Linked DNA regions of Mytilus edulis. The protein of the gene in region 2 purifies or fractionates together with the protein of the main gene of each other region. This does not show direct contact. Links are inferred from orthologs where the notes say so. Each region holds a gene or a part of one and is shown on either strand. Other genes may lie near its edges.

The links. Proteins that work in one complex are often made in the same cells at the same time.
Region 1: the proteins of derlin-1-like (region 2) and E3 ubiquitin-protein ligase TM129-like purify together in Homo sapiens (affinity purification with western blotting; 3 studies listed by BioGRID). This does not show direct contact. The link is inferred for Mytilus edulis from reciprocal best matches to the Homo sapiens genes DERL1 and TMEM129.

What each region holds. Positions count from the first base shown.
Region 1 is NC_092347.1:90,629,593-90,637,129, forward strand, and holds the start of E3 ubiquitin-protein ligase TM129-like, read right to left. Parts: upstream 3,009-7,537; 5' UTR 2,920-3,008; coding exon 2,700-2,919; intron 520-2,699; coding exon 45-519; intron 1-44.
Region 2 is NC_092348.1:63,047,862-63,055,926, forward strand, and holds the start of derlin-1-like, read left to right. Parts: upstream 1-5,005; 5' UTR 5,006-5,213; coding exon 5,214-5,372; intron 5,373-7,410; coding exon 7,411-7,510; intron 7,511-8,065. UniProt on the Homo sapiens protein: Functional component of endoplasmic reticulum-associated degradation (ERAD) for misfolded lumenal proteins. Forms homotetramers which encircle a large channel traversing the endoplasmic reticulum (ER) membrane.

The DNA of each region.
Region 1 (7,537 bases), on a different chromosome or scaffold from region 2:
TAAAATGGTTTAACTTTCTAATCGATATTAACTACTTGACTTGCCTGATTTGAAATGGTGTAACTTTCTTGTTGATACTAACTACTGAGATATTTAAATACTGCACTGATGTCATACTTTCATAGGAAAGAGAGTGTTCCTCTGATTTGGATAAAGTTAGATGAATATCATTTTGATGCGTTATATTTAAAAAATATGTGGATGTTTTCATAACCCATGAGTCTGTGACAATGACTCTTCTTCCATGTGGGCCGGATGTAAATTTGTCAAAACGGCGGAACTCAACATTTATAGAGGATGCCACTGCTCTCCAACTTCCAGCATTATTAGTAAGATAACTAAGTTCTTTAGCAATCGGATGTCTGGACCAATTGTCTGTAGACCAGTAAAACACAACAGCTGATGCAATTATAATAATAAAGAGGCTAATTGTCAAATATATCTGCCAATACCATGCAAAGTAAGGAAACCAATAAAGATGTTGAAGAGGCGAGACATATCTCAGTCCTAGAAAATAACCTGAAATGAAAAAAAAATTGTGCCACTTTAATTTATACTATAATATGTATACTTTAATCTAATCAATAAAACACATTGCAAACAAGACTTATAACCATGATAACCCTGCCTTTAACCTTTTGTTTATAATATTGATTACTAATAATTTTTTATCAAGGTTAAAATGGTGTTGTGTATTACAAATGTTAAAATAAAAATGAGAATGGAAATGGGGAATGTGTCAAAGAGACAACAACCCGACCAAATAAAAAACAACAGCAGAGGGTCACCAATAGGTCTTCAATGTAGCGAGAAATTCCCACACCCGGAGGCGTCCTTCAGCTGGCCCCTAAACAAATATATACTAGTCCAGTGATAATGAACGCCATACTAATTTCCTAATTGTACACAAGAAACTAAAATTAAAATAATACAAGACTAACAAAGGCCAGAGGCTCCTGACTTGGGACAGGCGCAAAAATGCGGCGGGGTTAAACATGTTTGTGAGATCTCAACCCTCCCCCTATACCTCTAACCAATGTAGAAAAGTAAACGCATAACAATACGCAGATTAAAATTCAGTTCAAGAGAAGTCCGAGTCTGATGTCAGAAGATGTAACCAAAGAAAATAAACAAAATGACAATAATACATAAATAACAACAGAATACTAGTAGTTAACTGACATGCCAGCTCCAGACTTCAATTAAACTGACTGAAAGATTATGATTTCATCATATGAACATCAGGCACAATCCTTCCCGTAAAGTCTATTAATATAACAATAAAAATTCTAAATATAAGAGACTTGGAATTTTGTACATTTATACTAGTCCAAATAATTATGACGTCTGGCAAGGCTATTTTTTTTCTTTTTGGGAAGTCGTCCCAGAAAATAAATAAAATAGCCTTGCCAGACGTCATAATTATTTGAACTACATTTATACCAGACACCTAAACGTTAACATTGCTGACAGCAATACAATTGATTGTTTCATTGCATTAAAGAGAAAATAAGGATTTTATTGCAAATCAAGCCAAGGTATTTACAGAAAATCCAGACATTATCACTTTTAACATGTTTAATACATAAATTGATTTGTCTCTATAACATTTCAAACAGACTGCTCACTTTATTTTTTGAACATGTTGTGCTTATGTTTATGGTTACCAAAATAATCCTAAACAACCAATAAAAAATACCTCCACTGAATTACTTAAGTTGAGCACACCATAATGGTGTACTTGAATTGGTACAAGTTTGTACTTGTTTTAAGGAATTCACTGCTAGCACTGCATGCAGTAATTCCCTATTTTATCAAATACAAAACTGTCAAATATAGGAGTACAAGAGGAAGGGCTGTGGTTTTTCTATAACATCTCCAAATATTTAGCTAGACATAAATAAAATCTCAGGTTCAGTACTGAAACAAAAAAAGGGTACATGATCCTGAATAAAACCCTAGCTATATATATATTGATACAAATAAAATCTATGATATGTCTCTTGATAAAACCAGTTAAGATGTACCCATCACCTCAGTGGCAGCTCAAGGGGGGGGGGGGGGGGGGGGGGGTTAGGGCAATCTAATTAAAAACCGATCTCTCATCGCTTCTGTTTCTGATATGTCGCGTGGGAGATCTAACGACACCGGCTTTGAGGTCACATGTGAGTGAACTAAAAGTCATGAATTTATAAAGATATGCAAATGAGTTGACGACCTATTAATAAGCCAATCAAAAAAGTTTATGAATTATTATGACTGACGATTTCGTCGTAAATAAAATGAGTTAAATCCCTTTGCCTTACGTTAAACTTCCAAGATCGTGGAAGACTCAATTTCATTGGTCGAAAAAGACACACCTACGAGGTCACTCACATGTGACCTCAAAGCGGGTTTCGTTAGATCTCCCACGCGACATATCAGAAACAAGAGCGATGAGAGATCGGTTTTTAATTAGATTGGGGTTAGGGGTTCACCGGGGTCGGTGTTGGAACCTCCTTTTATTTTGACATTAATTAATATCAATACCCCTATGGGCCTTTAATTGGAAAAAAAGAAAAATATAATATATATCTTATCTTATCTAACTTATCTGGTCCGTTATGGTTTGGAACCCTTCCCCTTTTTTCTTAAAATAAATGGCTGGATCCGACCCTGCACATATAAGTGAATGAAAAGCAACACTTGTATATGGTTACCTAATGGAAAACATGAATGAATCAACAGTGTCGCAGCTGTTCTTTTTATGTGAAAGTAGATAAAACCAAGTTCTTCACTCCCAAGGAAACTTGCCAACATATTTTGAACTGTCAAACCGGCAGCCACAAATTCAGTAGGTGGTGCTATCATTACCAGACTAAAAAATGTATATCCGAGTGTATAAATAGCAAAAAGTGTCGATTCTTCGTTTGACGACATTTTAGTAATAATAGTTTGGCAATCGATCGTCTACTTTCAATTTACACAGAATTTTACATGTGGAGGTACTTTTGCTATAAATATAACTAATGACCGAAAAGATGTTTGACTCTAGCAAATCACTGTTAACAGCCACTTTTAAATCTCAAATACTAGCCGATGAAATTGTGAAACAATTTTAAATTTCACAGAACATTTGTATCACTTCTATCCTTTGTAAAAGACACATACATGTATTTATAGAGAAATTAATGTTTTGATTCGAGATTAAACTGTCAAGAAATGGTTGTCCTCCCCTAAAAAAAGCAGATGCTCCACAGGGCGCAGCTTTATACGACCGCAGAGGTCGAACCATGAACAGATGGGGCAAGTATGGACACAACATTCAAGCTTGATACAGCTCAGAGTTTGGAATGTGATTAAATAGTGGACACAGCAAAGGTTTCTGACACAGAATAAATGTGATCTAATGAACTTATTTTTTTTTGCTTTTGAGCAATATACTATGCAGTTGAATATTAATCCCCTAAAAAAGAAATATTTGAAGAAAAATTCTTTTTAATTTCTGAAATCTGAAATAAGAAAAATTCTATACCCCCTCCCCATTTTTTTTCTCACTTCCCCTGTTCCCTTATTCCAAAAATAATCTCATTTCAAATTTCATGTAAAGTGGAGTTTGCAACAATAACTACTCATTTAAATACATCATGAAGTATATTTATTTTATATGTCTTTTTGAGTTCGTAATTAAATTTTCTATCGCGAAACAAGGGCTTTTGCTCGGGCTTCCGAAAAGAAGGGCTCCGGGATATGCGGACTAAATAAACAATGTTGCCTATGTATGATTTTTTTTACACCCACTGCATTTAAACTCTTGTGGATAGTTGTCTCATTGGCAATCACACCACATCTAACTTTATTTCAACTCCAATGTTGCATTTTATATACTGCAATATTGTTTTATTTAGTACCATATCCCGGAGCGCTCTTTTCTGAAGCCCGAGCAAAAACCCTTGTTTCGCGATAGAAAATTTAATTACGAACCCAAAAATACATATAAAATACCTCGAATTTTAACTAAAAATCTTAATTAATCTAAATGAGACTTAAATTCGAATCTTACTAAAACTCTAATTCAAGAAGTGACTCAAATTCAAAGTTGTAACTATAACTCTGCCTTAAAATGTGAGTCAAACTCGAAACTCAATGCTAACTAGAACTTTAATTCTAAGCATAACTTAACTAGCTCAAATTTTAACTCAAACAGTAACCCGAACTTTAATTTGAACACTAATTAGATAGATGGCCACACGCATGGCACATACAACATGGACATCTATCTAAAAATAGAACAGGTTTTTCCGAATTGGTCACCTGGTCACGTGGTTTTACCTCATCAAGTATTGGGATAACCACATCAAAGAATGACAGGACCACATCAAAGAATGACAAGACCACATCAGAGACATATAATACAAGAGATTCGCAACTCTAGTAAAATCCAAGTAACGATAAATGAAATCACGTGAGACCGGACGTGATTGGGATTATAATGTGACCTGGGATGATAAAGAGAAAATTCCGCCATTGTTGTTAAGAGAGACGATACGCTTACAGATTTGTTTTCTCGTTTATGTCGATTGTTTTCACAGCCAAAGCATGTAAGTATATTCAAAAGATACATCGAACTAGTTCTACCAATTTGTTTATACTATAATGTGCAAAGATGATGATAATAATCAAATGCAGACCAATTTAAATTTGGTCCATTCAGCTTCCCCTCTTTATTGCTGTAGAACCGGTGTGGCCCACCATTTTTTTTCTTCATAAAACTTAGAAATTTACGATTATATATGCAATTTTATAGTGTTATTTTACTCCCGATTGTTATCCCGTTAAAATGATACTATTTTCGTATATTTTGATCAAATAGTGTTTTCATAAAATACCATCAAAGGTGATTTATTTTTTTCACATTGATACCCACATGACCCAAATCCAGCTATGCGAGAATTACCTTTTTTTCATAAAACTTTGAAATTATCGAATAAATATGCAATTTAATGAGCCTGTATTAATTCCAAATGTTATCTTGTTAAAACAAGATCAGCAGGGCATATATTTGTATACCATGGACATGTACACATTCCCAATATATTCCTCTTTTCTTTATAAATGTTGCCCATTATTCTCTATTCTTTATTTATTTTAGCACCCCATCATTCTCCAATCTTGATATTTTGATAAATTGTTTCCTCTTGTCTTTACTTTTCTGATTTCAGTTCATGCAGTTATTCCAATACTCTTATCGTATGAATGTATGACAGTTTCAGAAAGTCACAGGACAAAAAGTCACAATTTATTTTTTCTGATTATTTTCTTTGAACAAAAATTGCTTATTTCTATTCTTAAACTATTGTATATAAACCAACTTTGTAAACTCAAATTATCAAAAACATATCAAAGATGATCAAACAATTGTTAAAAAAACAAAGTGTCAAACTGGTTTGGCACTTAAATGGCTTCATGCTGCCAAGAAATCTTTCTTTTGCATGATTAAAATTTCAAAAATCTTCATTTTTCAAATATAATGACACATTTATTAAACTTTAATATGAATACATGTATTAAAAAGTAAATATTTAAAGATATTTCTCTTATATATACAAACAATTGTCAACAGATTATTTGTGACTTTTTGTCCTACCAAATTTGTGACTTTATGTCCTGTGACTTTCTGTCCGTTTACCTTTTGTAAACACCTTCCCATTGGCGGATCCAGCCCCCCCTTTTTTTTTGAAGATCAATAAATTTGAATGGGGACATGTGGTAGGTAAAACATGTACAGGTATGATATAGGTAAAAAATATTAACAGGTAAATGTGGCGCAATTAATACCATCAAAATAAAAGAGAGTGGCGCAATTAATACCTTTTCAAAACTGCAATTGGCGCAAATTGATTCTGCCCATTTTCAGAAAGAGTGTGGACACCTGTGGTGTAGTAACAACTTCTTGTGTACCAGGTGTCAAATAAAACTCCTTTTAACAGGTTGTGATTTACCTGACCATCGAATCTAGCCTAATATACATGTCACACTGTGAAATTATGTCTCCGAGACAGGTGTATATTTGATAGAAACCCATTATGAAGCTATCAAATAAAATAAACCCTGATACAATTTATTAAGTGCTTATTATTTAATATCGTTTTTATTTTTAATTCAATATCAAATTATGTTTCTTTTTCAATAATACAAATAATACAAATCAAAATTAAAATGACATTGAAATAAATAATTATGTATGAACTCTAATTATTTAATTAATTATGTTAAATTTAACACCGAAACAGTTATAATTTATGCTTAAACATTCACCCTTACTTCGAGTGCTTTTAATACTTTGATAATGACTCCATTACCCAAAGAGATCTTGCGAGGTTTAAATCTGGCCGTGTGATATTACGGGATTTCGACGAGTTGCCAATCTCTTGTATTATATGACTCTGACCACATCAAATAATGAAACAAACACATCAAGTAGTGTAAAATCGTCAAATTTGGAAACATCATTACGTAATGTTAAAACCATATGAAGAATAGACAAATCATCGTTACGAAATAACAAAACCACATCATGTAATGAAACAACTTCATTACGTTAAGTCACATACACATCAAGTAATGTTAAAACCACATTGACTAATGACACAACTATATTAAATAATGGTGAAACCACATCTAGTAATGACAAAACCGTATTGAGTAATGACAAAACTATATCAAGTCAATACGAAACCATATCGTGTAATATCGAAATATCATTAAGTAATGACTCTTCCATATTGAGTTATATTAAAACATCATTACGTAATTTCAAAACCATATTAAGTAGAGACAAAATATCATTAAGTGATATCAGAGTTACACATAAGACAGCTGTGGCGTTCCATAGTTTTTCATTGTTTAATTTATTGATATCATACATCAAACAAATTACATTATGTACATTTGTTAACATTGTTTCATAACATTTATTTATTTTTTTTATTCTGTCTTACATTTATGTTTTAGAATTTCTGACATTTAATTCGACGCTTTTTAAAACAGTGAAATGTCTTCATTTTGAAATTTGATTAAGTCACACTACCCAAAAACATTATATAATATTTTTAGATCAACGTTTTAAATGAAACCGTTATTGTTGTACATCGGGAAAGTAAAAAACTCGCACATATACAAATGTCTTCGTGTTCATGACACTCTAGTGATGATTATTGAAATGTTTTGTCTCATGGCGAAGATGATAGTATCCCATTCATTTATCAATACAACAAAACAATTCGGGAAAACGTGGTTTAGATACTTTTCTTTCATTTGAGCATCATCCTTTGACTTCAGTTTTTGCTACAAATATGATGTACTTTCACTAGAGGCCTCGGTAGCCGAGTGGTCTAAGTAGTTACTATGTGAACGTCAGTTGTCACGTTCAATGAGACATAGCGTAATAAATTTGATTTTTAAAAAGAAAGGCGACAAAAACGATAAAATTTTTACAGTCCAATCACATTAGATAATGTTGATTACAAGATTTTAGACGGAATGATGGCTAAGAGAC
Region 2 (8,065 bases):
GATAAGGTCTCCGTGCAATGCTAGGCGGTGTTGTCGTAGAAGTTAAAAATAAAAAGTACAGGTTCCAGCCCCGGCGCCGGGGAGGAAGTTACGAATCAAATCTACTCTAACATCGTTAGGTTGATTTTCTAGGCACTTTATGTATGTATATATATACATATATATATATATAACAGCTTTTTTAAAAATAATTTAGGAAAATCATTGAACTGTGAACAAATGCAGTTTAATTCTATCTTAAATAACTTGCATCACATCCTATTTTTTTTCCAGTAATGTTGTTTGTAAAGCCTGTAAATTTAGATAAGATCTGTGTACACTCATTGGTGCTGTGAGTAAACTTACCAGTATTCTCAATGGATATCAAGTGAACACCATAGGAAAATCTTAAGAGTATTGTTTTTATCCATTCAAAAAATGATTTAGTTTTCTATAAATCAAACAAATAATTAAGGCAGTGGCTATTTGACTGGCAACGGCAAAATAGCAAATTTGCTATTTGACCGGCACTGGCAAAATAGCAAATTTGCTATTTGACCGGCACCGGCAAAATAGCAAATTTGCTATTTAGCCGGCTCTGATTAAATCATATCTAACTGGAATTAAAATTTAAGAATAATAATTAAATATCAAAATTTTCTATCTAAAAACATTTGTTACTGTTGCTCATATAAACACTTAAGGGGACGACCATTTGATATTCTGGGGGGTGGGGGGGGCAGGAGGATTTGTTTTTGATCGGTTATTTATTTTTGTAAACTAAGAGGACAGATTATTCATTTTCTGCACCGTTGAAGCAAGATTTTTCATTTTAATTAAAGCAAGGGACTGATTATTCATTTTTACAACTATATTTTTTATATTCGAAATTTTTTTTGAAGGGTTTTGGATCCACTGAAGGCCCAAGAAGCTATAGAACAAATGATGCAAAATCATGCTTTCTGGATGTTCCGAAGACCCTTTGATAATCTGAAAATTAAGTTTTGTTTAAATAATTTTTATGCCCAACCTACACTAGTAGAGGGGCATTATGTTTTCTGGTCTGTGCATCTGTTCGTTCGTCCGTCCGTCCGTTCGTTCGTCTGTGCGTCCGTTCAGGTTAAAGTTTTTGGTCAAGGTAGCTTTTGATGAAGCTGAAGTCCAATCAACTTGAAACTTAGGACACTGTTGCTTATGATATGATCTTTCAAATTTTAAAGCCAAATTAGACTTTTGATTCCAATTTCACGGTCCAATAAACATAGAAAATGAAAGTAGGAGTTTCAGGTTAAAGTTTTTGGTCAAGGTAGTTTTTGATGAAATTGAAGCCCAATCAACTTGAAACTTAGTACAATATGTTCCCTATAGTATAATCTTTCTAATTTTAATGCCAAATTAGATTATTACCCAATTTCACGGTCCATGGAACAGGATAGTGTGAGTGGGGCATCCGTGTACTTTGGACACATTCTTGTTTGACAATATTTTGGTCTCAAAGCAAAATGTATAAATTCAGAGTTAGACTGAAATTTCTAGGGACAACATCAAAAGACCAATGTGCATGATAAAGCAAAAATGGAATTCGCATAGTTAAGCCTATGGCTGCTGGTTTTTTTTTTAAACTCATGATCAAGTTCATAACAAAATTACTAGATTACAAAAGAAATGCAACACTAACAGAATACAGAAGGGCAATCAATGAACAAAAGACAAATAAATAAGAAACATTGATCCCGAAAAATCAGGGCTATAAGTCTGAGGGAAAACAGAACTTTCTTCTTGCAAGGTCGTGAACACAATTTGATATGGAGACAAGCGTTTGGTTTTGAAATTTTCTACATGTAGTTACGGCCCTGTTTAAATAAAAGTGAGGTATGTTTCCTGAGACAATATACCTCAAGTTAAATGAAACCAATTTTCAGAAATTTCAAGTATATTTAAATAATATTTATACTTTTGTTATTAAAAAATTTGTGAAGTGTTTCACGATTTTTTTGGGGGAAAAAGATGAATTGATGAAGAATCTGGTGCCATCTCATACTTTCCATTAGACCTGCTGAGTTATTCATTTTCTATACATTGCAAGTCAGGCAATTTATTTTCAAACTACCACAGAACAAACCATTTATTTTTGTGATTATCAAGGCCGAGTTATTTATTTTCAAAATCCTCCTTTTACACAGATTTAAATTTGAAAATCAACATTTTGTTATAAATATTTTAGAAAAAATATATTTAAAAAATGTATTTACAAATGTGTTTTCATGCTTTTAATTAATGTTATAAAGTTATAAATTATTTATTTATGAAAATCTTTTATTTTTTATTGTACTTTAATATTTTAAATGCTTGATATTGTGATAAAATGATTTTAAATTATTATTATAAAGCTTTTTTATTCTCCACTAATCACATCAATGAACAGTTTTATTTAGTGCCGGCTAAATAGCAAATTTGCTATTTAGCCGGTGCCAGTCAAATAGCAAATTTGCTATTTTGCCGGTGCCGGTCAAATAGCCACTGCCAATAATTAATGCTTCAAAACAAGCCATCAACTTTTAAATATTCAACGTGTTGTCATTAATTTCAAGAATGTATACCATTTAAATATCTGAATAAGTTTATTAACCTTTAACATGCTTAATCTCCTTAATATTAAACTTTTTTTTTTAAAGTAAGGAGTTGGTCTCATTGGGATCTAAGCGTGACACAGGATTGCTGATTTTTTGTAAGCATGACACAGGATTGCTGATTTTTTGTAAGCGTGACACGTGAAAGTCAAATTATTGTGCCATGAAGACAGGAAACGAAGTCTAGCAGAACACAGGGAAATTACAAAAAAATTAGAATTGCTAATGTATATACTGTAAGCGGGATACAGGAATCTGACAAAACAGTAAGCGGGATCAGAACCCCCAGTGATACCCCCTAAGGAGAACAATACACCTAATCGCTATTTATTCCATTCCGGATAAGTTCTAAAATTACACAACTTTTTCATCCAGTTGAAGTTATCTGGGACCCTGTTTGAACAATGCACCATGCATGATACTTTTTAATGAGACCTGTTTAAACTACCGTAAATACTTCAAACAAAATATTTTTTTACTTTAATTTTAATTTCGAAAAAAGTGGATCATACTATATCAAAGTTTCTTGATAATCACTTTCTAAAGTTTTTTCTCCCTCAGCTCACTACTGATGACCTCCATTTTTCGGCCGGTGACCCAAAACAGGGAGTTGTATAAATGACTGTTTTTCTCGGAATGGACTAAATAGCGATAAGGTGTATCCAAGGGCAAACCGACTCGATGGGCACAAATGAACTCAGGGCGAACATGTAAATAGGGTGGACAAACCCAATACCCATCTGACTATAGTCGAACGGCTGATTGATAAAGCTTGTCTAAAACAGTGTAAGTTCTTTATATTAAAGGGACTTGTAATTGTTAGGATAACAGGTAAATTTTGGACTTCCAAATTGATATAGATTTTTTGCTTTGATATTACATATTGCAGCACACAGGAAATCTAAATCTGTGCAGCTCATTGCTTGTTGAAAAGGGTAGAAAAGCACTTTTTAAAATAAAAAAAACAATTGGACTAAATAACCAATGCAAGCTATTAGAAAAATTATTTGACTCCCTAGTTGTGCCTATTGCTCTATACGGAAGTGAAGTATGGGGAATAGGCAAACAACACAGGGATTCAGATCCCTTTGAACACTTGCAGTATAAATTTATTAAAGAAATTCTAGGAATACATTGTAAAGCATCAAATGCTGCATGTTTAGCCGAGCTAAATAGATTGCCTTTATATACCAGAATAGAATTTTCAGCAATAAAATATTGGCTTCATATACTTGAATCAAATAATTCACTTGCCCTAAAAATATATAAAGCAACTGAAAAAAATAACTCTTGGATAATAAATATGAAAAATCTCCTTTCAAGACTTGGTTTTCATTTTATTAATCTAAATCCTATTGATATTAAGATGTATTTAAAACACATTCAAGAGAGAATCAATGATATAGCCTTCCAAAAGCAAGAGACTGACATCAATCAAAATAAAAAAATGAACTTTTTTAATATACTTTATAAACCAAATAAAAGACCCTCGTATGTTGATCAATGCAAATCCAAAAGTGATAGATCAACATTATGTAAATTGAGGTTAAGTGCTCATACTTTATCTATTGAAAGAGGGCGATATCTAAAAATACCAAAGCAGAATAGGGTATGTCTTTGCTGTAACAATGAAGACATTGAAGATGAACTTCACTTTCTTTTAAAATGTTCCTCCTATAAATATGTGAGAGATAACCTTATTAAAAAATTAAATAATGTTCTATTGAACAACAAATTTTCTTCCTTATCATATAACTTACTTATATCAATTCTAAATAGTAATTCCCAAACAATATTAAAAATTGTTGTCAACTATTTGAATGAATGCTTGTTGGTGAGAAACTCATTATTAAAAGGTACTTGATTTTTGTAATAATGTATATTATGCTTCTCATTTATTTTTTATATATTTCTCTCATAATTATCCACTGTCACTCCTTCATTGTATATATATGTTATTGTAGTTAGTCTTTAATTTGTTGCCATAACCATTTATTGTCAATGTGTTAGTGCTAATAAAGTTATCTTATCTTATCTTATCATATTTCATACCCTGTAAATTTTGAATTTTGCTTCCCTAACTTATTAGCATTGCAGCTTCATTAAGTGTGGTTAGTATTGCTCTTCTAATAAACAGTGATGTTTACTATTTTTCGGGACCAAACATGTTTTGATTTGTCGCGCTTTTATAAAATTATAGATTTTTTAAATTCATAAAAATACGAACTCTGCGGTAAATTAAGTTCATCATTGCAGTGATTATAGAATCTCATCTAGCCTTAAATATCAATTCATTTAAAGTTCTACCTTATAAATACATTGAAGATACATGTTATATTCGAAAAAAGAAAATATAGGTATCTCTTAATATTAATTCGTTTTATAAATTAATATATGAAAAATTTATACTTTTGTAAACTTTTGGGTTTAAGAGATTTCGTCAGAGAAAAGTCCCGAGCTAACCGATGAATGTTTACTTCCGGTGATAATCAACTTTTTGAGCGAAAGCCACGTCAGATTTACACGGTTTAAATATATAAAGTAGAGTTGTGTCTTAATGACAATTGATGATTTGATATACTGAAACTTCATTAAAGAAACAAGATGTCCTCGAATGATATCGGGGATTGGTACCGCAGTATTCCGAAAATAACGAAATGGTGGTTTTCAGGATCAGTTATTATACCAATAGCAGCGAAGTTGGGACTTCTGAATCCTATGTGGTTGTTTCTACATTATGAATCCTTAATTTACAAATTTCAGGTACAATGAATTAGTATTACATTTGAGTTTTTGTGATTTGACATTTGCATAATTGCTAGCCTTTATACACCTTATCGCTAATCCTGGGTGAACAGGCCGCTTGAACTTTTGACGTATACAACAATCACTTTTCCATTGTGGAGTCAGATATTTTGTTTATGACATTAAAATTTTACGGGAACCTGTGTGATATCCAGTAATAGTGGACATATATATAGCAATAAGGTGTATAGCTATAGATAGTCGGAGATTACTCTGACGTCCAACGGCTGTTTTGCCAGACAAGCTGGGGCCGTGGGACGTCAGAGCTTGTCCCATATCAAAAAGTGGATATTTGCCCACCCAAAATAGATGCGCTGCTTCGTCGCTTCTGGTGCCGACTGGCGGCCTTGGAATCATATAAATCGGGCATCAATCTGTTCATTTTTCATTTATCTCTTCATTTATGTAAGTTTCACTTACCTGCCAACCTTTATTTTCCCATATATATTAACAGTTTTCACAGAGACCCATCGATTTCTGCATTTTGACTTTCATTTTTAAAGATTATCACGTGACCACGAGAAAACAAGTGATGATTTATGCAAATGACCATATTCTAACACCTCATTCATTTACGATGCAAGTAATCTAAATGTCCGAGGGCTTCCGATTGTTATCGTGGTTGGCACTAAATGCTAAATACCGATCTCCTGTAAAGGAGGCGAAAAGTTGTGGTTGGTTACTAAATGTTAAATATCGATCTCCTATATATAAAGGAGGTGATAAAAGTATAATTATTTGCATATTTGAGTCTCGAGGTCGCAAAATCCCTCGTAACTTGAAGTCCATTTGAAAACAAAAGAAAAATGTCTGAATGGATGGGTCTCTGTGAAAACTGTTAAAATATGGAAACCTTTATTTTTCCATATTTTAATCGTGCCAACCACGATAACAATCGGAAGCTCTCGGACATTTAGATTACTTGCATCGTAAATGAACGAGGTGTTAGAATATGAAAACTGTTAATATATATGGGAAAATAAAGGTTGGCAGGTAAGTGAAACTTACATAAATGAAGAGATAAATGAAAAATGAACAGATTGATGCCCGATTTATATAATTCCAAGGCCGCCAGTCGGCACCAGAAGCGACGAAGCAGCGCATCTATTTTGGGTGGGCAAATATCCACTTTTTTATATGGGACGAGCTCTGACGTCCCACGGCCCCAGCTTGTCTGGCAAAACAGCCGTTGGACGTCAGAGTAATCTCCGACTAAGCTATAGACAGGTCCCCAACACTACATAAATTATTACCGAATGCAAGTAGACTTGTACCAGTTGTGGTCAACATTTTTTAATCAAAATCGGTTTGGCCGAAATCATATTGCTTTCATTTTTGTTCGCCCCCATTTAAGTTGGCGCCCCAATCTTAAATAAATTGCAATCAATGATTAATCATCTAATCACAAAACAAATATTTCAGCTTGTTTAAAGCCACTATAATCAGCAATTACAACTAATAAAAAAATCATGCATCTAAGACTGAATTAATTTGTCTATAAGTACACATCCATCGATCATTCAATGGATTTAGTGTAAAGACCACATTATAAACAGTTTGAGAAAAAGATGACATTGTGCAATGAAAAGATACAGTTATTGACAGATTGTAGATTAGATTGTATTAGCCTTTTTTTGAACATTCTGTACTTGTTTCCTCAAATATTAATCAAAAGATTCACATATATTTGTAACTTTATAAACCTTTAAAAGATTCATCATAACAAACCATCAAAAATGCATATGCATTTGTAGATACATTGTACAGCCAAAAAAATCATGCTCGTGCAGTTGGAATTGGTAAAGCCAAAGCATCCACTAGAATTCAAACTACATTTGTAAGAATCACTTTAATGTAATTTTTTAGTTTCATATTACTGTTTAACTTTCATGACTTTGTGATAATTATACTTTCACAATAATGGTATTGTGATTAGAAACTTTGAATCTAAATGAATATTGTTCTAAAATGTATCTTTTGTGATATCTATTTTCAGTTTTGGAGGCCATTGACAGCTGTACTATTTTATCCAACAGGATTCCCATATTTGATAAACCTTTATTTCTTATATTCTTATTCTATCAGAATAGAAACAGGTATGTTTACTATTACTACAAAAATATCATTTATATGTGCTAGTTCATGTTACAAACAAGTTGTCTGCACTGTTTACATGTATATGTCCTATCTGTATAAAAAAAAAAGAAGATGTGATATGATTGCCAATGAGACAACTCTCCAGAAGAGACCAAATGACACAGAAATTCACAGCTATTGGTCACTGTACGGCCTACAACAATGAGAAAACTGACAGATTTATTAATGAACAAAAAAAAATATAAAAAATATAAAAAAACATATATGTTACACAGCAACAAACGACAAAAAAAATTGCAATTTTGTTTTCATTGTCATGCTGTGGTTTGAACAGTGGTTCATGCATAAGACAGCATTTAGCAATTCTGTTTAATAATTATGTAAATACAGAATTTCAATTTAGAAAAATACTAGAGAAATTTCTAATGGCATCATTTCATGATGTACAAATGTAGCAGTCAAAAAACATACATTGTTGACTAATTTACACACTAGTTTTTCAACAGAGCACACATCAAGACGCAAGTGTGGCATCAATATGTCACCACATACTT